Linked DNA regions of Macaca fascicularis. The protein of the gene in region 1 purifies or fractionates together with the protein of each later gene. This does not show direct contact. Links are inferred from orthologs where the notes say so. Each region holds a gene or a part of one and is shown on either strand. Other genes may lie near its edges. The genes, in order: COPB1, COPG2, COPA, COPZ1, COPE and COPG1.

Evidence for each region.
Region 2: the proteins of COPB1 (region 1) and COPG2 purify together in Homo sapiens (affinity purification with western blotting; 4 studies listed by BioGRID and IntAct, with this or other methods). This does not show direct contact. The link is inferred for Macaca fascicularis from reciprocal best matches to the Homo sapiens genes COPB1 and COPG2.
Region 3: the proteins of COPB1 (region 1) and COPA fractionate together in Homo sapiens (co-fractionation; 6 studies listed by BioGRID and IntAct, with this or other methods). This does not show direct contact. The link is inferred for Macaca fascicularis from reciprocal best matches to the Homo sapiens genes COPB1 and COPA.
Region 4: the proteins of COPB1 (region 1) and COPZ1 fractionate together in Homo sapiens (co-fractionation; 8 studies listed by BioGRID and IntAct, with this or other methods). This does not show direct contact. The link is inferred for Macaca fascicularis from reciprocal best matches to the Homo sapiens genes COPB1 and COPZ1.
Region 5: the proteins of COPB1 (region 1) and COPE purify together in Homo sapiens (affinity purification with mass spectrometry; 6 studies listed by BioGRID and IntAct, with this or other methods). This does not show direct contact. The link is inferred for Macaca fascicularis from reciprocal best matches to the Homo sapiens genes COPB1 and COPE.
Region 6: the proteins of COPB1 (region 1) and COPG1 fractionate together in Homo sapiens (co-fractionation; 11 studies listed by BioGRID and IntAct, counting the BioPlex papers as one, with this or other methods). This does not show direct contact. The link is inferred for Macaca fascicularis from reciprocal best matches to the Homo sapiens genes COPB1 and COPG1.

The regions. Positions count from the first base shown.
Region 1 is NC_088388.1:51,257,321-51,261,587, reverse strand, and holds the start of COPB1 (coatomer subunit beta), read right to left. Parts: upstream 2,801-4,267; 5' UTR 2,693-2,800; exon of another isoform or gene 2,658-2,692; intron 1,949-2,657; 5' UTR 1,892-1,948; coding exon 1,801-1,891; intron 1-1,800. UniProt on the Homo sapiens protein: The coatomer is a cytosolic protein complex that binds to dilysine motifs and reversibly associates with Golgi non-clathrin-coated vesicles, which further mediate biosynthetic protein transport from the ER, via the Golgi up to the trans Golgi network.
Region 2 is NC_088377.1:172,023,845-172,026,152, reverse strand, and holds the end of COPG2 (coatomer subunit gamma-2), read left to right. Parts: intron 1-238; coding exon 239-377; intron 378-671; coding exon 672-770; intron 771-1,240; coding exon 1,241-1,371; 3' UTR 1,372-1,808; downstream 1,809-2,308. UniProt on the Homo sapiens protein: The coatomer is a cytosolic protein complex that binds to dilysine motifs and reversibly associates with Golgi non-clathrin-coated vesicles, which further mediate biosynthetic protein transport from the ER, via the Golgi up to the trans Golgi network.
Region 3 is NC_088375.1:100,716,086-100,720,182, forward strand, and holds the start of COPA (coatomer subunit alpha), read left to right. Parts: upstream 1-1,297; 5' UTR 1,298-1,382; coding exon 1,383-1,422; intron 1,423-4,097. Other genes in the region: NCSTN (nicastrin), read right to left, coding at 1,072-1,156. UniProt on the Homo sapiens protein: The coatomer is a cytosolic protein complex that binds to dilysine motifs and reversibly associates with Golgi non-clathrin-coated vesicles, which further mediate biosynthetic protein transport from the ER, via the Golgi up to the trans Golgi network.
Region 4 is NC_088385.1:61,173,065-61,177,334, forward strand, and holds the start of COPZ1 (coatomer subunit zeta-1), read left to right. Parts: upstream 1-1,470; 5' UTR 1,471-1,488; coding exon 1,489-1,662; intron 1,663-4,270. UniProt on the Homo sapiens protein: The coatomer is a cytosolic protein complex that binds to dilysine motifs and reversibly associates with Golgi non-clathrin-coated vesicles, which further mediate biosynthetic protein transport from the ER, via the Golgi up to the trans Golgi network.
Region 5 is NC_088393.1:19,305,493-19,308,992, reverse strand, and holds part of COPE (coatomer subunit epsilon), read left to right. Parts: intron 1-507; coding exon 508-589; intron 590-1,926; coding exon 1,927-2,082; intron 2,083-3,500. UniProt on the Homo sapiens protein: The coatomer is a cytosolic protein complex that binds to dilysine motifs and reversibly associates with Golgi non-clathrin-coated vesicles, which further mediate biosynthetic protein transport from the ER, via the Golgi up to the trans Golgi network.
Region 6 is NC_088376.1:154,147,323-154,151,409, reverse strand, and holds the end of COPG1 (coatomer subunit gamma-1), read left to right. Parts: intron 1-656; coding exon 657-795; intron 796-1,012; coding exon 1,013-1,111; intron 1,112-3,100; coding exon 3,101-3,231; 3' UTR 3,232-3,587; downstream 3,588-4,087. UniProt on the Homo sapiens protein: The coatomer is a cytosolic protein complex that binds to dilysine motifs and reversibly associates with Golgi non-clathrin-coated vesicles, which further mediate biosynthetic protein transport from the ER, via the Golgi up to the trans Golgi network.

The DNA.
Region 1 (4,267 bases):
AAAATCAAAATAGATTAAAGGCTTAAATCTAAGACTTTAAACTATGAAACTACTACGAGAAAACATTGGGAAAAACCTCCAGGTAACTGGTCTGGCCAAAAATGTCTTCAGTAATACCCCACAGGCACAGGCAACCAAAGCAAAAACGGACAAACGGGATCATATCAAGTTAAAAAGCTTCCGCACAGCAAAGGAAACAATTGACATACGTGATGAGACAACCCACAGAATGGGAGAAAATATGTGCAGACTACCCATCTAACAAGGGATTAATAACCAGAAAATGTAAGGAGCTCAAAAAACTCTATAGGAAAAAAAAAATCTCATAATCTGATCTAAAAATGGGCAAAAGATTTGAACAGACATTTGAGAAATACATACAAATGGCAAAGAGGCATATGAAAAGGTGCTCAACGTCACTGATCAGAAGAGAAATGCACATCAAAACTACAATGAGATATCATCTCACCCCAGTTAAAATGGCTTTTATCCAAAAGACAAGCAATAACAAATGCTGGTGAAGATGTGGAGAAAAGGGAACCCTTGTACACTGTTGGTAGGAATGTAAACTAGTACAACCACTACAGAGAAGTTTGGAGGGTCCTCAAAAAACTAAAAATAGAGCTACCATACGATTCAGCAATCTGACTGCTGGGTATATATCCAAAAGAAAGGAAATGAGTACATCAAAGAGATAACTGCACTCCTATGTTTGTTGCAGCACTGTTTACAACAGTCAAAACTTGAAAGCAACCTGTGTCCACCAACGGATAAATCGATAAAGAAAATGTGGTACATATACACAATGGAGTACTATTCAACCATAAAAAAGAATGAGATCCCGCCATTTGCAACAACATGGATGGTACTGGAGGTCATTATGTTACGTGAAATAAGTCAGGCACAGAAAGACAAACTTCACATGTTCTCACTTATTTGTGGAAGCTAAAAATCAAACAAATTCATGGAGATAGAGTAAAAGGATGGTTATCAGAGGTGGGAAGGGTAGTGGGAGGAAAGCGGAGATGGCTAAAAAAGAAAAAATGAGTTAGACCCAATATTTGATAGCACCCGGGGTAACTATACTCAATAATAATTTAATTGTACATTTAAAAATAACTAAAAGTGTAACTGGTTTGTCACACAAAAGATAAATGCTTGAAGGGATGGATACTCCATTTTTCCATGATGTGATGATTATGCATTGCATGCCTGTATCAAAGCATTTCATGTACCCCATAAATATATACATCTACTGTATACCCACAAAAATTAAACATTAAAAAAAATAAAATTCACAAATATAGTTGTTTTCTTGTTTGCAAAAATGCTTAAAAAATGAAAAGTTAAACTTTTCGGGAAAATACATGTTTATTCCAGTGTTGATCTAATTGTCTGGGTGGGTAACCCAAAGAACAAAGTTCTTTTGGTTTTACAAGCTAAGTAACATGAAGTTAAGTGCACGATAGAATTAAGATATTCCAATACACATCCTCAATCTGTTGCCTAGAGAATATCATCAGCTACATTAAGTATAATATATTGAACTCCACAAAAATTATGACATTTTGAGGAATATCTAAACTATTAAAATCTCTTTAGGTTTACTGAGATGTTCTATTTCAAACAACCAATATTTAGTCTAAAGGAGTTCGCATTTAATTTAATAAAAGGTCTATTGAAGAGATCCTAGAAAAACTTTAGACAAAAATTAAGCATTTCTAATTATAAAGGAATATGAAATATGAGTTTATTTTCGTCTTTTCTTTTTTCATTTCTCAAAATAATATCAAAGTTTACCTAGATCATTTTTTAAGCTAATTTCAGATGGTGGTTCTGAATCCATTGGCACGTTAATTAACGTGTAGCACACGTTCTCAGCTGCCGTCATGGTTTCTGGTTATATTATAATTAATCCTTGATACAAGACTTAAGGATGCCAGAAAATCTAGAAAAATAAACACAGGTACATGATTACAAATCAAACAAAGAAACAAACAAAAAACCCACAAACCAGTATCTATAGTGACATTTTAAAGTATTAGAAAGGACAGGTCAATCTATATCGTGTTCCCATAAAAATAAATTCTAGTAAAAACCACACTGTCAGCTCCGGCATAAAGTATATTATCTATCACTCCCTCCATCGCACACGAGTCCAGTGTTTGAGAATGCTGTACAGCCGAAGGAAGGCCCACAGAACAGTGACAGTCCCCCAGCCAAACCCCACAATATTATGGAACATACAGTTTTTAACACAACACACAATCTGCATGCTCAAGTTAGGAGACCTTGTGCCTGAATACTCTGCCAAAACCCTAAAGCGCTTTATCGCGGTCCTTGGTGGGTTCCGACTATACGTCCGCGGGTCCCTTAATCAGCGCGCGCTGCACCCCCACCTCGCCCGACCCGCTTCCTCCTCCCCTTCCCCCAGCAAAGCAGGCCTGGGCCTGAAAGGGTAAGCCTCGGGGTCTTGGGAGGGAAAGACCCCTGACCAATACAGAGGTCGGGATGGAGCGTCCGACCCGGAGCTTCCTAGGCCCCCGCCCCTACCCCCACCCCGTCCCCTCTGCCAGGCCCAGACGCAAGCGGCCTAGTCGCTCCCTTTCCGCATCTTCCAGCTAGAGAGCCAGTTCTTCCGACTCTGCCCGACCCACCACTCCTCCGGGACTGGGGGCTTGTGGCCCACTACCAGGCTCCGAGGGGTAGTGGTTTGGGGCAGCCGTGGATCCGTCTACTCCGGCTCCAACCCGCAGCAGCGGCGGCGGCTCCAGAGTCCTTGGCTGACGTGGAAGGGGGTGGGGTAACAACCAAAGCCACAGCCACCTAGCACCTACGGCGACTCAGAGAGGACATGCCTTCTTTGTGCAGCGCTTGCGCGCTGCAAGTGTATCCTATTTTCTTACTCTTCTCTCGTCCGGGGTTGGTTTAGGCCGCAGAGCAATGAAACCACGTATTTTCTAGTTTTCCCTGAAAGCCAAGAGCTGAGTTAGGCACTATGCTCATTTAAACTCTAACTGGAAATCGTTCCTTCTTCCAGGAACAGTCAAGGGTAGGAAGTGTTTGGAGAGAGGGAAACTTTTGCAGGGCTGTATTCCCGTGAAAAACAGCTCTGGACTGGAAAGTGGAAACCCAGGAATGCTTTTTCTTGCTCACCCCCTAATAAACTGGGAAAGTAACTAATACTATTGGGAAACTAATTCAGTTATTTTATTAATGGTCACTAGATTAAAATCCATTTCAGTCCTTAATATCGCTTGTAGTTTGAATCTGCCTCTCTGCAGGTAGGGCTAGAGTTATTTGAAAATCCAAAGCCACATTGGTATAATTTCTTTTTATTTAATAATGCCCTCTTTCCGTGATCCTTCCTGAGCACCCAGTAGATTAGAAAAAATTTTTATGCATAAAGGGAGACAGTCACTGTTTTAAAGGATTTTACGTATCTCCAAAGACCTAATTGTTACAGCTGCAATCAGCCACAGTACTTTTGGTTTTGCCCATTTGAAGTTCCATAGCACGCCCCGCCCCTACCCCTCCCTCTTCCCCCCAAAAGGTTTTATGGTCAATTATTAATAACAAAATATTTTAAAGCTTAAGCAAAATATTGTGAATAAAAAGAGATCTGACGGCAACTGCCCTAATTAACAGGTTCATCTCAGAAGATGGAACACCAATAGTACCTCATTTATGTAGGATCTAGCTCTTTTGAGATTTCTCTTTTTAGAACCATCAAGCAAACTACAAATTCTTTGAGCACCCAAAATGTATTACAAAAGCCATGTGTTGACAGCACTTTAAGAGTGCCTCCTCTGATTCTGTGCACTCATTTTTAAAAAACAGTTGTAGAGTGACTTGAATACAGTTTCCATATACTCTTTACCCAGTTTCTCCCAATAGTAACATCTTGCATATAGTACAATATCAAGAAATTGACAGACATAATTCACCCAACCTTATTCAGACTTCACTAATTTTACATGTACTCATTTTATATTCACTTGTAGACAATTTTATCATTCTTATATGTGTGTGATCACCAACACAGTCGAGACACAGAACAGTTCCATCACAAGGATTCTCATGCTGTCATGTCGTCCTTTGATAGCCATAGCCACCTCCCACACTAACCTGTGGCAACCACTAATAGTTTTCTATGATTTTTATCATCTCAATGTTATATAAATGGAATTATACAATAATATTTTGAGACTGGATTTTTTTACTCAGTGTAATTCCCTTGAGATCAATCCAAGATGTGTGTACAACA
Region 2 (2,308 bases), on another chromosome or scaffold:
ACATGACTACTCTGTACCTCAGGGCTACAGATGTTGATCTGAATTTGGCTCTTGCCAGATGTTCTGTTTTCTTGCTTTCCTTTGCTAAGGGCTCCAGCATTAGATTTATCCAGACTACAGAACTTAAACTATTTTGGTGGTAGAGTTTTCTCTAGGCTCCAGAGAACTATATTAATTCCTTTATCTTTGCCCTATAACAGAAAGGACTTTTCTTTACTGACTGCTTGTTACCCACTAGCTGGAAGATCTCGAAGTGACTGTGTCTGACCACATTCAGAAAGTACTGAAGCCTAACTTTGCTGCTGCTTGGGAAGAGGTGGGAGATACCTTTGAGAAAGAGGAAACCTTTGCCCTCAGTTCTACCAAAACCCTTGAAGGTGAGACCCATTTTGCTATCAGTATATTGCCTGATAGCAATAAACACCTAATAGGTATATTTGTTACTCCAGAAGAACTCCTTGTAAAAAAAAAAAAACTTCATAAATCTCTTACTTAAAAGGCCAGCACCCTGTCTTCATCATCTAACTGATCAGCCATTTTCTAGTCCAAGTAGCCTCCCTCTACACATCACCAACAGCCCCTTCCACCCCAGCTCCCAGCATAGACTGGTGCAGAGGGAGATCCCTGTGCTTTACTTTCCTAATACTGTCTCATACATCTTCTCAACACAGAGGCTGTCAACAATATCATCACATTTCTGGGCATGCAGCCATGTGAGAGGTCCGATAAAGTACCTGAGAACAAGAATTCCCATTCGCTCTATCTGGCAGGTAAGAAGCTTCCATCAGATTTTCCTTCCATTTTCTTGCAAAGCTTAACAGGATATAGATGGGCATCTTACGCCTTGCTCTTGTCCCATCATCCCATTATATGAGCCACAACGTGAAACCCAGTCAAAATGAATAATTTGTTTTGCATGCTATTCTTAGTTATTCTTTTAAGATGTACATTTGACCTAAAACACTTAAATCTCTCCAACAGATACCAAGGCCACCACCAACATTCCTTTTGAGTACTCCAAATTGGTATTTTTGAATACCTTCTATGTATCTGGTTTCATGGGAATATAAAAAATATATATTTGGAATATATATTTGGAATTTATGCGTAGGATTCAATTTCCACAAATCTCTGGAAAACTAAACTAATAGAAAGGAGATGCAGTGAGAGCATGATAAATTTCATTATCCAGTGCTTGTTTTGGGTTCTTAATATGTTTTTCCTCACTTTTTTCTCTCAGGCATATTCAGAGGTGGCTGTGATTTATTGGTGAGGTCCAGGCTGGCCTTAGCCGATGGAGTGACCATGCAGGTGACTGTCAGAAGCAAAGAGAGAACACCTGTAGATGTTATCTTAGCTTCTGTTGGATAAAGGCTTACTGGACAAGAGGAAACTGATGTACACTTCACGGTCAGCGGGCTTTTAGGCTAGTGGCATCAGTTTCCCAGAATCACACTTTTGAAGATGACTGACTTTGGAGAAGCAAATTAAACATTTGGCCCTGAGCCAGCAGATCAAGCAGGTGTCTATCTTTGTGCATGGGTTGTTTTTTTTTTCTTTTTATTATACTTGGTCAGCTTTGGTATGATAGTGCAGCTTCAGGTGATCTTGAAAATCAAATACTATCCTATACTCCAGCTGCTTAACTTCATTTTATTCTTTAATTTAATGTGTACCTGAAAGCTCCTGGCAATGCTGGAAAATTTTTATCCCAGAGGGGTGGGGGTGAGGGGGAGGGGAAGCCAGAGTCCACTTTTGTCACAATTCATTTTTATTAATAGAAAATAAACACTTATTCCAGTTTCAAAGTTGTTATACTTGAAGTTGCTAATTTTAAAAAATGAATTTTAAATAATCACTTAATCCTGCTTTGACTAAGACAATGAAATGTGGCTTAAAAAAAAAAGTGTTCAGCACCATTTGCTCATAGGTCTTTCAGAGTTTGTTCTTAAAGTTTCTGGAACTTTCCTGTCTGTAAAGTATAGGAATGACTGAGCTACATTGGAAAGCCTCTCTGGGACAGGCAGTGGGGAGTTAAGCAGTCATCATAAAGGAATCAGTGTACATTCAGCATGGTGACTTGGACTACACAACAATCCCTTCCCCTCTACAGTAGCTCAAGAGAAACATGCTTCTAAGTACTGAGGTATGAGGAGTCTCAGACTGTTATTTGCTGTTCGAATTGGTCTTCCCAGCTAATAACAGTAAATATCTGGCACAGATGCTATTGGTCCTTAATGTCCTGTGATTTTAGGTAGTAGTTTGGATTTAGTTCAATTTATTCAGAAATCAAACATGTTTAATTAGC
Region 3 (4,097 bases), on another chromosome or scaffold:
ATGCTCTACATGGCACTCAGCTATGTGCCTCAAAGGGTTATTAAAAAGTCCATGTAGCGCCATTGACAGTGACACTAAAAGAGAGAAAACTTGGTCAAAGGAAAGGTGTTTGACCTTAGATTTGCCAAATTCTGGTTGCACAGGTGATCACACTTCTGCTTGTATATCCTGTATGTATATTACTAACCAGTTAATACAAAGGTGCTGGGCTAAGAAAACTTTCTGAGACATTTTTCCAAGAGTGTGAATAGAATTGAGAGAAACCTTATGACATACACTGGTCAGTTAATTTAACATCAGTAGGTCATTTGTGTGCCCACAGTGTGGGGCAGCTGTAGTTTCTCCTTTGAGGATCTTTAAAAACAATGTGAACTAGGGGAAGGCACAGTCATAGTTATATACAGACATTTGCATTTTAGGGCGTGACCAACTAAAAAGCCATGTATCAGTAAATAAACGCGTATAAGCAAACAGTCAAGTATATTATAAATGCCAAAAGTTCCTTGAATCGTTACTTCACGGTTTGGACAGTTAAGAGTACCCATATCCTACCTTATTCTTGCTTTACTGATTAAAAAAACAAAAACAAAAACAAAACCTGAGGCAAGGCAGAGGGACACAGACTTTGGGTGTAACCAATAGAGGAAGAAATAAGAAATCTACCTTTTAAGCGCCGCACAGCACCCACAGAACAAGATTGCTTTCGTCTCAAAAAGTCTAAACGCGGGGAAGAAAGCTAACTTTCACACCTGTTTCTTTCGACTGTGGGGTGGGTGGCTGGGGTTGTGGGAAAAACGAGGCATCTGGACAAAGTGGGAGAGGGTCGAGTTCGAAGTCCAGGAAGAGGCCTAGAGAAGGGAGTGAAGCGACACGACATGCTGCGGGGGAGAAGGGACCTTTAGGTCCAGGCAAAGGGGGAACTTCTGTCGTGGGAACGAAAGAGAAAGAGGATTTACAGGGTGGGGGGACAGAGGGGCAGCAGGAACCAGAAGGGAGACAGTGGCGCTCGCGGCTGGGCCGATCCGGAGAGTTCCCTTTAGAGAACGGAGCTCACGGGTGGGGAGGCCTCACCTGCTAGTAGGACGCAGAAAGACAGAAGACGAAGGAGACCCCGACTTCCCGGGTCAGCCCCAGAGCCACCCCCTGCCGTGGCCATCTTGCCTCTCTGCTGAGCGGAAGTCCCCGTTCGGCTCCTGCCGGGTAGCGGCCTCTCTAGGCTACCACTGACACCATCTCTGTGGCCCGGAGCCCAACAGACCGGAAGTTCGTGTTTCCAGGAGCTTCCGGAAACCGCGGCAGAGGGTAGCTGACGTGGAGGCGTCCGAAGGGCAGCAGGGTGTGTCGGGGCTCGGATTAAAACATCGGAGTCGGAGACCTGAGAGATGCTAACCAAATTCGAGACCAAGAGCGCGCGGGTCAAAGGTAGTGGAGAAAAAAAAGGGGAACATGGAGGTTGGATGTCAAGAGCGGCGCAGACACCGGGGAAGAGAAAATGGGTAGACGTGCTGGCCGAAGTGGGCCCACTAGACGGACCCAGAGGAAGACGGAGGGTGGGAGAGAGGTTAGGCCTGGCTAGCGGTTCTCCAGTCCCCTCTTTGGTGTGTCCTTGGGCTTCGATTTACCTATAAAGTGGCTCCCACACTGTAGGTGATTCCTTAGACCACCTCCCTATTCTTTCTTCTCCCTTTCTCTCTTTGCTGTGCTCCCAACTTGTATTGTTCTGCTCCAAAGGCCCTGTGACCTGTTGACTTTTTGATTGTGTTATATGGAGTGGCCCTGGGGCTTGAGTCTCGATCTCTGTTACTTGCACCCGAGTCAGTAGCTTTTTTGGAGACGTGTAGTGGCTACCTCACTTAAGGAGGCCTTGGCTGCAGCATCTCAACATCAGTACCTTCATTCGGCTTTATTCACTACCCGGAAGTAGTACTTTGAGGCTTATAACCCCAATAAAGTCTCAACTTGATAGGGTTGCCAGATAAAATGCAGGACACCCAGTTAAATTTGAATTTCAGGTAAACAATGAATAGTTTTTTTAGTCTGTCCTTGCTTACCAGAAGTTCAAATATATCTGGGCATCTCGTATTTTTATTTGCTAAGTATGGCGACTCTAGAGCTCGAGTGTGGGTCGTTGGGGGTGGTGGGCAAATACTGAGATCTCAGTATTAGCCTCAGAATGTTAAAATGTGAAAGGCAGAGAGAAGTAAGGTCTCCAGAGACCTGGAAAAAATAGTATCTAGAGTATGTAGTAAGATGCAGCGTAACAAAATGGTTAGTCTTTGAAAGTGGTTGGTCTTTGAAGTCAGATGGGCTTGCTTTGGAATCCTGAGACATCCACTAACAAGCTGTATGACTTGGGTGACTTAAGGTCTCTAAGTGCTATTTCCTCATCTGTAAAATAGTCTTTTATAGAAAGAATTAAAATGAGAAAGTATGGAATGTATTTATTGCAGCACCTGGTGTAGACTCAGTAGTGCAAAAAGTGGAGGCTGCTCTCAATGTGTGAATATATTCTGAGCAGTTTCTAAGTCTCTTGGGAAACTTGACCTTGAAAGGTGGGTACCATTAAGAATTTCTGAGACCTGTGTAGGTGAAATGGGTCTTCATAATCTTTCAGTTTTCTTTTCTGCTCCTAATTTCTTGCTGGGCAGTAGAGAAGGAAAAACAAAGATGTTGTAATAATTGAGGGCGAACATCCATTGTTGAGTGTACTTATATATCATAATGGAAAAAAAAAAAGAGAACCTAATGGAAAAATAGACAATTTAGAAGAAAAATTGTAAATGTTCAATAAATAATTAAAACAGTTCCACCTCACTAGTAATGAAAGAAATGCAAAAAAAAAAAAAAAAAAAAAAGTGAAGTTACTTTCTTGGGGGGAGGGTCTTAGATTTATAAAACAAAACAACAAATAGCTGATAACATCCTGTGTGCAAAATGGGCACCTCCATAAACTTCATGAGACTGTATATTGATAAAGTGTTTTTACATTTAAATATATGTACTAAAATGTTAAGTGCACATATTCTATTCCTGAGCAATCTCACTTACAGGTCTTTAGCCTAGAGCAGTAATAATGCAAATAGGCTAGATTATGTGTAGAAGTATCTTCAGTAGGCTCTTCTGATAGCCAAAAATTGGGGGACAAAGGTAAATGCCTGTTAGAATAATGTAAAAGTTTGCAGAACAACATCATAATGTGATCCCCACTTTCATAAAATAGTAAGGCCTATGTCTATGTGTAACTGCATTACAAATCTGAAAGGGTACACTCCAAACTGTTAGTAGTTGTTACCTCTGGGGACTTCCATTTCCAGTCTTGATAGAATAACAAACAAAATGTATGAAACAAAGGTTCATACATTGCTCACAGACGTTGGGTGACACGCAGTGCAGGGAAATGATTCTTGAGAGAAGGGAAATAAACAAGGTGAGTCCTATGATTGTCATAGATTACTGCCTAGAGAGTTTTCAGGCTTCAGTGAAAAGGGGAATCCCTTGTTCTTTCTGAGGAGACAAAAGTTTAGAGTGTGGGGAAGCAAAGATGCTAGATTTTGCAGGGCAAAATGCTGGAGAAGAGGGGGCTGCAGAGAGAGAGCACTAGAGGTCTGCAGGATGTCCTCTCGGGTCTTTGAGTACTGATCTGCATGTGAGAAAACTATTCAAAACCTGACAAAGAACCACTGGAAAGGAGAAGGCAGAGCAATCCCCAGAGCTCACACAGGGCTGGGACTAGTTTGTGTTCCTACTGGCCAGAATGGAAAGACTTCCTGATATTATAGAGCTTCAAATAGAGACCTCAGATGGGCTATTGCTTTAATAATGGTTCCAGATTAAGCCTAGAATGAAGGCTGCTGTAGCCCCCCTGTAATAGAACCTAAAAGCAAGCCTTGAAAGGATCAACTGATTCCAAGTAACTTAATTGCATCCTAGAGCAAAGCCCAACAATATTTAAAGGAATATAACAAACATCTAGTACCAAACATAAAATTCATGATGTCTGGCATCCAGTAAAAAATCATCAAGTGCGTCGAATGAATAAATGAGCCTAGGATTAACCTTGCTGTTTCTTTTTCTTATCAGAATTGACAGAAGGTGAC
Region 4 (4,270 bases), on another chromosome or scaffold:
CCAGGGGTGGTGGGCGCCTGTAATCCCAGCTACACCGGAGGCTGAGGCGGCAGGGAGAATCGCTTGAAACTGGGAGGCAGAGGTTACAGTGAGCCAAGATCACACCACTGCACTCCAGCCTGGGAGACAGAGAGAGACTCCATCTCAAAAAAAAAAAAAAAAAAAGAAAAAGAAAGAAAAAGAAAAATTCCTGGATAAGTCTGGAATCTCTTCTTGGAGAGCTCCTAAGGACATAATTTTCAGAGATGAGGGAAAAAAATCCCTGAGGGATAATTAAGGCAATAGGTATCCCTGCCCTAAGAGGAGTCAGGGATCAGGAAACCAAGAGATAGGGGAAAGCCAAGCTTCATCAAAACCATTCCCTATTGTGAAATCGTTGCATTCAGTAAACTTCTCTTTTCTCATTTTGCAACGGCTCGTTTCTTTCCTTTTCTTTTTCTTTCTTTTTTTTTTTTTTTTTTTTGAGATGGAGTTTTGCTCTTGTTGCCCAGGCTGGAGTGCAATGACGTGATCTTGGCTCACCGCAACCTCGGCCTCCTGGGTTCAAGAGAGTTTCCTGGCTCAGCCTCCCGAGTAGCTGGGATTATAGGCATGCTCTACCACGCCCGGCTAATTTTGTATTTTTTTTTTTTTAGTAGATACGGGGTTTCTCCATGTTGGTCAGGTTGGTCTCGAACTCCCGACCTCCGATGATTTGCTCACCTCGGCCTCCCAAAGTGCTGAGATTACAGGCTTGAGCCACCGCGCCCAGCCACAACGGCTTGTTTCTATTGGAAAACCCCAGACCTTACTCCCTATAACCCTCCCTTATTCTAATCCCTTTCCCCGTTTGTCCCCCCAACTCCATCTCCAAAGACGATTGAGCCAAAGTTAGCTTTTACAAACTCTGACTTCTCATGTTCCTCAGGCCCAGCAAAGCCTGGAACTCCACCTTAGGGAGATTGTTACTGCGACTATCATCTTCTGGCAGTCTTGGTTTATGTAGTTAACATGTTGGGCCTTTCTTGGCTCTACTCTATGGTTGTGCAGACTTTCTGTGAGGATGCTAAAGTGACCCGAGCGAGCCTGAGGGAAGGGCTAGCCACAGAGATCATGGACCTAGGGGGCGCTGAAAATAGGGATTATTAGGGGAGGATCCCTGTTAGGAAGCGTCAGCGTTAAAGGCTAAGGAGACACAGCGCCCCCTAAAGAGAGTGCGGTTTAAAATCGCTAAATCAGGCCGACAATATCACGTGTCCCTGGCCCTACCAATTGAAAATTAACAATCGCTTCCTCCGTTCCCCATGGAAACAACCCCGCCCCACCGACCCTCCCGCCCTAATAAGTCGTGAGGTTTTGGCGTTTTATTGAGTATTCAAACTGACAATCAAACACCTGTGCCTTCTGGTTGGATACTCTGCTTCCGGTAAGCAAGTTAGTACAATAATTGGTCAACAGAGCAAGTCTTACCCAATGATCCTTATCCTAGGCAGGGCCTAATGGGGACGTATGGCCAATCAGCGGTGGCGTTACTTTTGCGGCTCCACGTCGGCACCAGCTGCGGGGCAAGATGGAAGCGCTGATTTTGGTAGGAGCTGGAGGGGCAGCAGAGATGCTGTGCTGTCCACAGGGGCCGGGAGTCAGGGTGCAGCCCGAGTGGGAGACGGGGAAGGAGAGTTCCGGGTAATTCTTGGGGACTGACGGTTCTGCCGACCCTTGGAATAAGTGTGTGGCCTAGTGTAGGAGCTAAAGCCTTGGTTTAGAGTAGGAAGCCCTGCCGGGGAGAGGGCATAGAGTCGATGGAAAGTTAAAGGTAGCACATGGACTCCTTAGGATACACAGACCTGTAAGCGTACTGGATTAGGACTCTTCAGGTTTCCCCTTATTTTTAGCATTGTGGATGATATCCTGATTTTAATTTACCAAAACCACCAAACTAGCCCCATATTATGAGAAAAGAATACAGATGTTTTGTCGTTACAGGCTCCTCCTGGTGGTTTCCCAAGTTTGACTCTCCATTGCTGATTCCCTGCCACATTCTTTCAGGAAACTGTTTTCTCTTGGGTTTCCTATTAATCCCTATTAAATAGGTTTATCATGATAAAGAATCAGTGTTTCATCAAAGTTCTGGGATACCTGATAAAGTTAGCATGGATTGTGGAATATTTTTTCCAGACTCCTTATTCTGTTCTCCTTTTCTCTACCCATTGGACCTTAGGAATTCTTTTTTTTTTTTTTTTTGAGACCGAGCCTTGCTCTGTCGCCTACGCTGGAGTGCACACGTGGCACGATCTTGGCTCACTGCAATCTCCGCCTCCCGGGTTCGAGCTATTCTCCTGCCTCAGTCTCTTGAATAGTTGGGACTATAGGCGCGTGCCACCATGCCCGGCTAATTTTTTTTTGTATTTTTAGTAGAGACGTGGTTTTACCATGTTGGCCAGGCTGGTTTCGAACTCCTGACCTCAAGTGATCCGCCGGCCTCGGCCTTCCAAAGTGCTGGGATTACAGGCGTGAGCCATCGCGCCTGGCCAGGAATTATTTTATTTTATTTATTTATTTATTTATGAGACGGAGCCTCGCTCTGTCGCCTAGCCTGGAGTGCAGTGGCGCGATCTCGGCTCATTGCAATCGCCGCCTCCCTGGTTCACGCCATTCTCCTGCCTCAGCTTCCCGAGTAGCTGGGACTACAGGCGCCTGCCACCATGCCTGGCTAATTTTTTGTATTTTTCTTTTTTTTTTTTTTTGAGACGGAGTCTCGCTCTGTCGCCCAGGCTGGAGCGCAGTGGCCGGATCTCAGCTCACTGCAAGCTCCGCCTCCCGGGTTTACGCCATTCTCCTGCCTCAGCCTCCCGAGTAGCTGGGACTACAGGCTCCCACCACCTCGCCCGGCTAGTTTTTTGTATTTTTTTTTAGTAGAGATGGGGTTTCACCGTGTTAGCCAGGATGGTCTCGATCTCTTGACCCCGTGATCCGCCCGTCTCGGCCTCCCAAAGTGCTGGGATTACAGGCGTGAGCCACCGCGCCTGGCCAGGGATTCTCATTGTATGATCTAGGATGCTAATTTCTCCCTTTCTGGTTACATGAGAATTGTGGTCGCTACAAGGAGTGTATTAGCCCTCTTGTCCATATGATGCTTTATGCTTGTTCTAACAAATAAAATACCTGTTACCCCTTATTTAGAACTGAACCAGATAATTTCTCTCAAAAGTGCCCTATTTTGCGATTTGGAGGGGTGTGTGTGTGTGTATGTGTGTGTGTGTGTAGGTAGGTAGGTAGGTAGTTAATGTAGGAATTTAACTCCCAGCCTCCTTCGTTAATTGGCTCGAACTCCAGGCCTCTTTCCAAAGAAGCTTGTCTTTTATTTTCCTTTAGATCTCCTATGCATACATATTCAGATCCTCGTCAGATAAAAGAATAACAGTTTTTAATTCCTCTCTTTCAGCATGTTAAAGACAGATAATTCCGACCATCCTGGCTAACACGGTGAAACCCCGTCTCTACTAAAAAATACAAAAAACTAGCCGGGCGAGGTGGCGGGCGCCTGTGGTCCCAGCTACTCCGGAAGCTGAGGCAGGAGAATGGCGTAAACCCGGGAGGCGGAGCTTGCAGTGAGCTGAGATCCGGCCACTGCACTCCAGCCTGGGCCACAGAGCCAGACTCAGTCTCAAAAAAAAAAAAAAAAAAGAGACAGATAATTCCTTATGTCAGTTGGTCAAATATAGGTAAAAAGCTTAAAATCTGAGTAGTTTTAAATATTTTCTGTACCAGGCAGTTAACAAATATTCTTTTTTTTTTTTTGAGATAGAGTCTGGCTGTGTTACTCAGGCTGGAGTGCAGTGGTACTATCTTGGCTCACTGCAACCTCCGTCTCCCAGAATCAAGCAATTCTCGTGCTTCAGCCTCCCGCGTAGCTGGAATTACAGGCACGTGCCACCATGCCCAGCTAATTTTTGTATTTTCAGTAGAGACGGTTTCACCATGTTTGCCAGGCTGGTCTGGTCTTGAACTCCTGACCTCAAGTGATCTGCTGCCTTGGCCTCCCAAAGTGCTGGGATTACAGGTGTGAGCCACTGCACCTGCCCAGTTAGCAAGTATTTTTTTTTTTGTTTTTGTTTTTGTTTTGGAGACAGAGTCTCACTGTGTCATCCAGCCTGGAGTACAGTGCTGTGATCTCAGCTCACTGCAACCTCTGCCTCCCGGGTTGAAGCAATTTCTCCTGCCTGAGCCTCCCGAGTAGCTGGGACTACAGGCACACACTGCCACGCCTGGCTAATTTTTTTGTATTTTAGTA
Region 5 (3,500 bases), on another chromosome or scaffold:
AGTGGTGGGCCTGTCCCACAGGGTGAGAGTGGGCTTTATGGAGGGAGTGGAGGTCGTGCCCGGAGGAACATGTCGCTGGGCCAGCTTGTAACTGTGCCATGGGGCTGGCGGGGCCTGCACGTGGCGTCACCAGGTCGGAGGCCATGGCTGGTGGTCCAGGACTCCCCTGCTGCCGTTTCCAAAGCCCTTGCCTCAGAGTTGTTCATGCTGTAGCTCCGTCGCCCTTCCCTGCGTTCCATCTTCCGTGGAGCGAGTCTCTCCCGAGCCCTACCTTGTGCCAGCCACCTCGGGGGTCCGTAGCTGGCTCCAGTCCCGCCTTCCCGGGGCCTTCACGTGGTGGGGCGGGCAGGGCAGCTCGGGCACTTCGTCGTGGGGTATGAGCACGCAGGGGAGCACGTAGTGGGGGCCATCCCCGGGCTCTGGCGGGCCCCAAGTGGGAACAAGGCAGGGATAGCCAGGCCAGGGCTCTCGGCCGCTCAGCCCCTCCGTCCTCTGTCCCCACCCCAGGAAGGAACTGAAGAGAATGCAGGACCTGGACGAGGATGCCACCCTCACCCAGCTCGCCACCGCCTGGGTCAGCCTGGCCACGGTGAGTCCTGGGCCACGAGGCAGGCGGGCATTGTGGGCACCTGGCTGAGTAGGGTCTGTGGGCACCCCCACCTGTGCCCAGGCTGCCGGCCACTCCAGTGGGGCTCCAGGATCAGGCCATGGCCCCCTGCCAGCCTGGCACAACTCTCAGCCTTCACTCCATTCCGGGCTTCTCACAGCCAAGCGGCTTGGCCAGAGGCAGAGCGATGGTGGGGACGGGGACGGGGTTCCTGAGCCTGAGGCGCAGGGGGACTCGAGGGTCTGGGTTGGCCTGGCAGCCCCTCCTCCCCCCAGGGCTTCCTGGGGTTTTCTGCGACTCAGCTTTGCTCTCCAGGGTCCTGGTCCCCAGCCAGGGACAGGGTTCAGTGTTCCCATAGCAGCGGTGGAGATGTCCTCAGCTCCCAGGCCTGGGCACCTCTGCCTGGCAACACCCCCCTCCTGGTTTCTGGGACTTGGCCCCCTTCTGAGCCATTCTTTTGTGCAGGCCTGTTAAAATACACTTCCTGGCTGGGCACAGTGGCTCACGCCTGTAATACCAGCACTTTGGGAGGCTGAGGTGGGTGGATCATGTGAGGTCAGGGGTTCGAGACCAGCCTGACCAACATGGAGAAACCCCATCTCTACTAAAAATACAAAATTAGCCGGGCATGGTGGCACCCACCTGTAAACCCAGCTACTTGGGAGGCTGAGGCAGGAGAATCGCTTGAACCTGGGAGGTGGAGGTTGCGGTGAGCCGAGATTGTGCCATTGCACTCTGGCCTGGGTGACAAGAGCAAAACTCTGGGGGGAAGAAATGTGCTCCCCGTCCCTGCCCACCACGGGGCTGGAGCCTCACCCAGATGGACTTCCAGTGGCCGTCCAGTGTGGTGGGACAGGCCTCGGCAGCCCTCTCGGGTAGTTTGAACTGTTTTCACAGCCTGCCTTGACCTCAGGCTCCCCCTGCAAGTATCCCACAGTCCTGAGCAAGCGGGCAGGTCAGAGTTGCTGGTCACAGAGCTGACTCATCCTCCTCCGATGTGCCCGGTGACCCAGTGGTCCCCACTCAGACCCTGGCCCAGCCACCTGTGCCCCTGTGCCCTGGAAGCCCTAAATTCCACCTCTGTGTACCCAGCGCACTGGGAGCCGGGTAGGAGGTGAGGCAGGAGGCGGCCGCGAGTCTTTAGGCCCCGTCAGCAGAGTACAGGTTATGAGTGGTCCCCATGGTGGAGTGGCTGTGCCTTGAACCGGGCATACCAGATTTGTGTCTGTGCAGTGCAGAGCCCCCTCTTGGGGAGGGGGCTGACGGTGGAAGGGCCTGGCGGCCGCAGCACAGATGATGATGTGGGACCCTCCCTGCAGGGCGGTGAGAAGCTGCAGGATGCCTACTACATCTTCCAGGAGATGGCTGACAAGTGCTCGCCCACCCTGCTGCTGCTCAATGGGCAGGCGGCCTGCCATATGGCCCAGGGCCGCTGGGAGGCCGCTGAGGGCCTGCTACAGGAGGCGCTAGACAAGGTAGGCACAAGGCTGTCCCAAAGTGGGAACGGAGGGAAGGCCAGGCGGCCGGAGGGCGGGGTCAGGGCAAACAGAAACAAGTGTAGCAGAGATGCCCTGCGTGTGCGTGTGGCCCCACAGGGCTTCTGAGGCCCAGTCAGCAGCGAGATCCACAAAGCAGGGATCGCACCTGCAAAGAAATCCAGATTCCGGCCTCACAGAAATGGGGCATCTGGGCAGCCTGGGCCTCAGTGGTCTGTCACCTCAGCTGCCTGGCCCTGCATGTGGGACCCCTCACCTGAGTACATATTCAGTATTGGAGAGACACTCCCAGTCCTTATTTAGGGGACAGCGTGCTGTGGCCAGGAGCCCAGGCTGGCTGCAGTCGTCTCCTGTCTGATGTCTGCAGTCTTTTCTTGTCTTTTTTTGAGATGGCGTCTCGCTTTGTCACCCAGGCTGGAGTGCAGTCGTGTGATCTCAGCTCACTGCAACCTCTGCCTCCTGGGTTCAAGCGATTCTTTTGTCTCAGCCTCCCGAGTAGCTGGAATTATAGGCGCTTGCCACCATGCCCAGCTCATTTTTGTATTTTTAGTAGAGATGGGGTTTTGCCATGTTGGTCAGGCTCGTTTCAAACTCCTGACCTCAGGTGATTCACCTGCCTCAACCTCCCAAAGTGCTGGAATTATAGGCGTGAGCCACCATGCCTGACCATCTGCAGTCTTTATGAAGAGTTTATGTTATTTTAAATTTAAAAAAAAATACTATTTTTTGTAGAGACGGGGTTGTTCTTGCTGTGTTGCCCAGGTTGTTCTTGAACTCCTGGCCTCCCAAAGCACTAGAATTACAGGTGTGAGCCACCATGCCCAGCGGATTTTTTTCTTTTTTTTAATTTCTTTTTTTTTTTTTTTTTTTTTTTTTGAGATGGAGTCTTGCTCTGTCCCCCGGCTGGAGTGCAGTGGCACAATCTCAGCTCACTGCAAGCTCTGCCTCCTGGGTTGATACCATTCTCCTGCCTCAGCCTCCTGAGTAGCTGGGACTACAGGCACTCGCCACCACACCCAGCTAATTTTTTGTGTTTTTAGTAGAGACGGGGTTTCACTGTGTTAACCAGGATGGTCTCAATCTCCTGACCTCATGATCCGCCCACCTCGGCCTCCCAAAGTGCTGGGATTACAGGCGTGAGCCACCGCGCCCGGCCTGGGTTATTATTTTTATAATCAAAAAGGACATCAAAGCTTTTTCCATTTTGGTGAAACGGATTTTGGGTTTTATTTGTTTGTTTGTTTGTTTGTTTGTTTGTTTTTTGAGACGGAGTCTTGCTCTGTCACCCAGGCTGGAGTGCAGTGGCCGGATCTCAGCTCACTGCAAGCTCCGCCTCCCGGGTTTACGCCGTTCTCCTGCCTCAGCCTCCCGAGTAGCTGGGACTACAGGCGCCCGCC
Region 6 (4,087 bases), on another chromosome or scaffold:
CTGTTTGAGCCCACCCAGAGATGATAGAAAAAAAAAAAAAAAAGAGCTGGGTCGAAGTTGTATTTATATACACTGTAAACATCCACAGGAGTAGGGCCTCAGTGAAAATCTGATGGGAGAACGAATGGGGAACCTTCATGTGGACTCAGTGGGAGTATTATGTGTCAAGTTCAGAGAAGACACAGCTGAAATGGAGACAGAGATTCAGGATCTGTCAAATCCAGAGGACACAGCTGGGGTAGGAGGTTTCTGCTGAACTAGAAACAGCTGCTGCTCCTGAAGAGCTCATCATCCCCTAGAAATGACAGGCATAGGAAGCAGACCTCTGAGAATGCTATGTAATTCCCTGTATGCCAGATCCTGGAAGCACTGACACTAGGCAGGCTTAAAAGAGATGTGATCTCACAGCAGGCAGCTCTAGGATGAGTTAGTAGATTGGTACTTGGGATTAGGGCATTTTCTGTTGAAGGGATACCACTTGCCTGTGGGCACCTCAAGGATAGGTACCTGGTCAAGTTGTTCTGTGTCCCCAGAGTCTAGCACAGTCCTCAGTGCCGAGCAAGCACCTGCAGAAAGAGTTGGCAGGAAGGGATGTGTGGATGAGTTCAGAGCAGAGTGTGTGGATGGGTGCTTGATTTCTATCTCCATCTCTCCAGCTGGAAGATTTGGAAGTTACTGTAGCTGATCACATTCAAAAGGTCATGAAACTGAACTTCGAAGCAGCCTGGGATGAGGTAGGGGATGAATTTGAGAAGGAGGAAACATTCACCTTGTCTACCATCAAGACACTTGAAGGTAAAATCCTGGGAATGCCACCTCTGGCCTACTTGCCGTTCAAGATCTTTGGGTACTGTTGAAGTGCTTATACCTTTTCTCTCCAAGGATCCAGGGCCATGTCTGGGGCACATATGTCAAATGCCATTTCATTAAAAGCCCTTCAGAACATGGGGGAGTGGTGGTGGCACAAAGGGCAGACAAGATGGCTTAACAATATTGGGATTTCTCACTATAGAGGCTGTGGGTAATATTGTGAAGTTCTTGGGAATGCACCCTTGTGAGAGGTCAGACAAAGTGCCGGATAACAAGAATACCCACACGTTGCTTCTGGCTGGTAAGTGGCATTTCCAGGTGGGGAGGGCCTGGATAGCTTACAGCCTGGATGTCCACTGGATCCTGGGCTAAGGACTTAACTGTAAATACGGGGAGTCAAAATTCACAGCATTTAAAATTCGCAAACTATAAAATAATCTGCAGCGAAATGTTTCCACCTTACCTTGGCTGCCAGCCATTGAGATTCCCTTCCAAGAAACGACCAGTGTTACTATTACAAACAATGCCTGTATAACCTTGCAGTTATTTTATTGCTATAAAGGAACACATTTCCTTTTTTTAACTCAAATGTTTATGTACAAATGGTATATTGTCCTGCAATTTGCTTTTCACTTTACGATGCATCTTAAGAGATCTTTCCTGCCAATATGTAGAGCTTCCTCATTCTTTTTCTTTTAATTGTGGTAAAATATACATAAAATTCACCATTTCAGCCATTTTCAAGTGTGTGGTTCAGCGGCATTAAGTACATTCACACTATTGTAAAACTATGACCACTATCCATCTCCAGAACTTTTTTCATCCCAAACTGAATCCTTTTTTTTTTTTTTTTTTTTTTTTTTATAGCTGCTTAGTATTCCATTGTGTGGATGCACCACATATTCTGTGGAACAGCCGCTACTGATGAACATTTAGTTTGATTTCAATCTGTTGCTATTACAGATGTTACAGTAAATAATCGTGTACACACACACACAATTTACTTTGCATGTGTACACTGAGAATATCTGTAGGATAAATTTTCCAAGGCATCACCAGGTCAAAGTGATTTGTGTTTCTCATCTTGATAAATAACTCCAAGTTGCCTTTCATAGAATTGTATACCTTTTTTCCTACACTGTGGACAACACAATATGTTACCACACTTTATGATCTTTGCCAGTCTGTGTGGACAATGATATCTTAGTGTAGTTTTTGTATTTTCATTGAAGTTAAGTATCTTCTCAAATGTTGAGGCATTTGTATTTCCTTTTCTGATCACTGTCTTCATATCCTTTGTCTTATTTTCTACAGGGTTGGCTGAGTGTACCTGCACTCATTCTCCTTCCCAGATTACTTACTAGCAAACTCCAGAAATAGCATTTTATATGTAAATTCTTCTGTATCTTTATGTTTCTCTAAGAGATAATGACCCCTGCCCTTTTTTAAAGGACAATACAATTATCATACCTAAAACAGTTAACAAAAGGAAATGGGATGATTTTTTTTTGGCTAAGTGTTTATAAACAGGGTTGAAAGGAGGCTCTGCTTCAGTACCCTGTCTACAGCTGACAGTTTGTAGCCACATTGAAACAACCCAGTCCCCTGGGTCTTGCAGACACCTGCCCTGTGGTTTTCTCGTGGTGGGGCTGTCCCCTTCATTTGTGCTGTCAGATTCAGCCAACATGCAAGAGCCTATGTGACGTCAGATACGAGCCTTTTATGTCCATCAATTCATTTGAACTTAGCAGAAGCCTGAATATGGTATTATCATCCCCGCCATTTTGTAGTTGAGGATACTGAAGCCCAGAGAGACAGTGACTTTTTTTTTTTTTTTTGAGACGGAGTCTAGCTGTGTCACCCAGGTTGGAGTGCAGTGGCACAATCTCTGCTCACTGCAACCTCCGCCTCCCGGGTTCAAGTGATTCTCCTGCCTCAGCCTCCCGAGTAGCTGGGATTTCAGGCGCCCACCACCATGCCCAGCTAATTTTTGTATTTTTAGTAGAGATGGGGTTTCACTGTGTTGGCCAGGCTGGTCTCAAACTCCTGACCTCATGATCCACCCACCTCGGCCCCCCAAAGTGCTGGAATTACAAGTGTGAGCCACCGTGCCCAGCCGAGAGTCAGTGACTTTCACAGTGAAATCCCTCACTCAGGGATTTCAGCCCAGCTCTCCTGCCCATTTCACTATACCACAGCTGTCTTGATGGGCTGCTGCAAATGCCATCCTTAGCCTGCCCTGTACAATCCCTTCTGCTGTATATACCTGTACTTCTGTCTTCCCTTCTAGGTGTGTTCCGGGGTGGTCATGACATCCTGGTGCGTTCCCGGCTGCTGCTTTTGGACACAGTGACAATGCAGGTGACAGCCAGAAGTTTGGAGGAGCTGCCAGTAGACATCATCTTGGCATCTGTGGGATAAGCAGCCAGCCTGCATAGGACCTTATGCCCTTCCCCCCCAACACTACCTGGAAGTTGTGCCTTCCTCATGAAACTGGCGGAAACCCCTTCCCAAGCTTCTGTATTCAAAAACAATTAGGAATCATTGCAGATTTTTTTTTTTATTCTGCCCTTACCCCCCACCCGGGACTACTTGGGGGTGCCTTTTTTTTTTTTTTTTTTTTTTAATAGGGAATGATTTTAGCTTGTCCTAAATCTTGCTATCCTTCCTTCCAGGAAAGGGACATTGTAAATGAATAAAACATTCTCGACTCCTCTTGAATTTATCCCCCAAGAAACCATCTTATCCCTCTAATAAATCAGCATGTATTTATTGAATGATTGCTACACCTTCCCCTTCAAGGCCTCCCCCAAGAGGCAGAACACGTGCCCTGTCCCCCTTGTACCCACAGCCCTTTGGCTGTTTTAATCCTGTGAGGCAGGACCCTCTCCCCGTCATCGCTGTCCCAGCACCAAGCCCAGGGGTGGGAGCGGTACAGGTTAGTTGAGTGAATCAGCTAACAGGCACTGAGTTCCCACTCCCTCCCACTCGTGCTTCTTCGCAACGCATCCTCCTCTGGTAGTCGATAAACGGAGGCTCCAAAGGGCTTGGGTCCTGTGGCCGTTCCAGCATCAGGTCCTATGTGGAGTGTGCCCTGGGGTTTCTGCTACCTGTTCAGCGAATCAGCATAGGCGAAGAACAGCCCTCTAGAGTATTCTCTGTTGGTTGCAGATAAAGAAATCTCCGGTTTAGGTCCCAAGGGGAGCAGGCTTTTAAACTCAAGCCAGGTTATTTTACCAACTTTGAGAACAAAGTACACCCGTAAGGACTGTTTTAA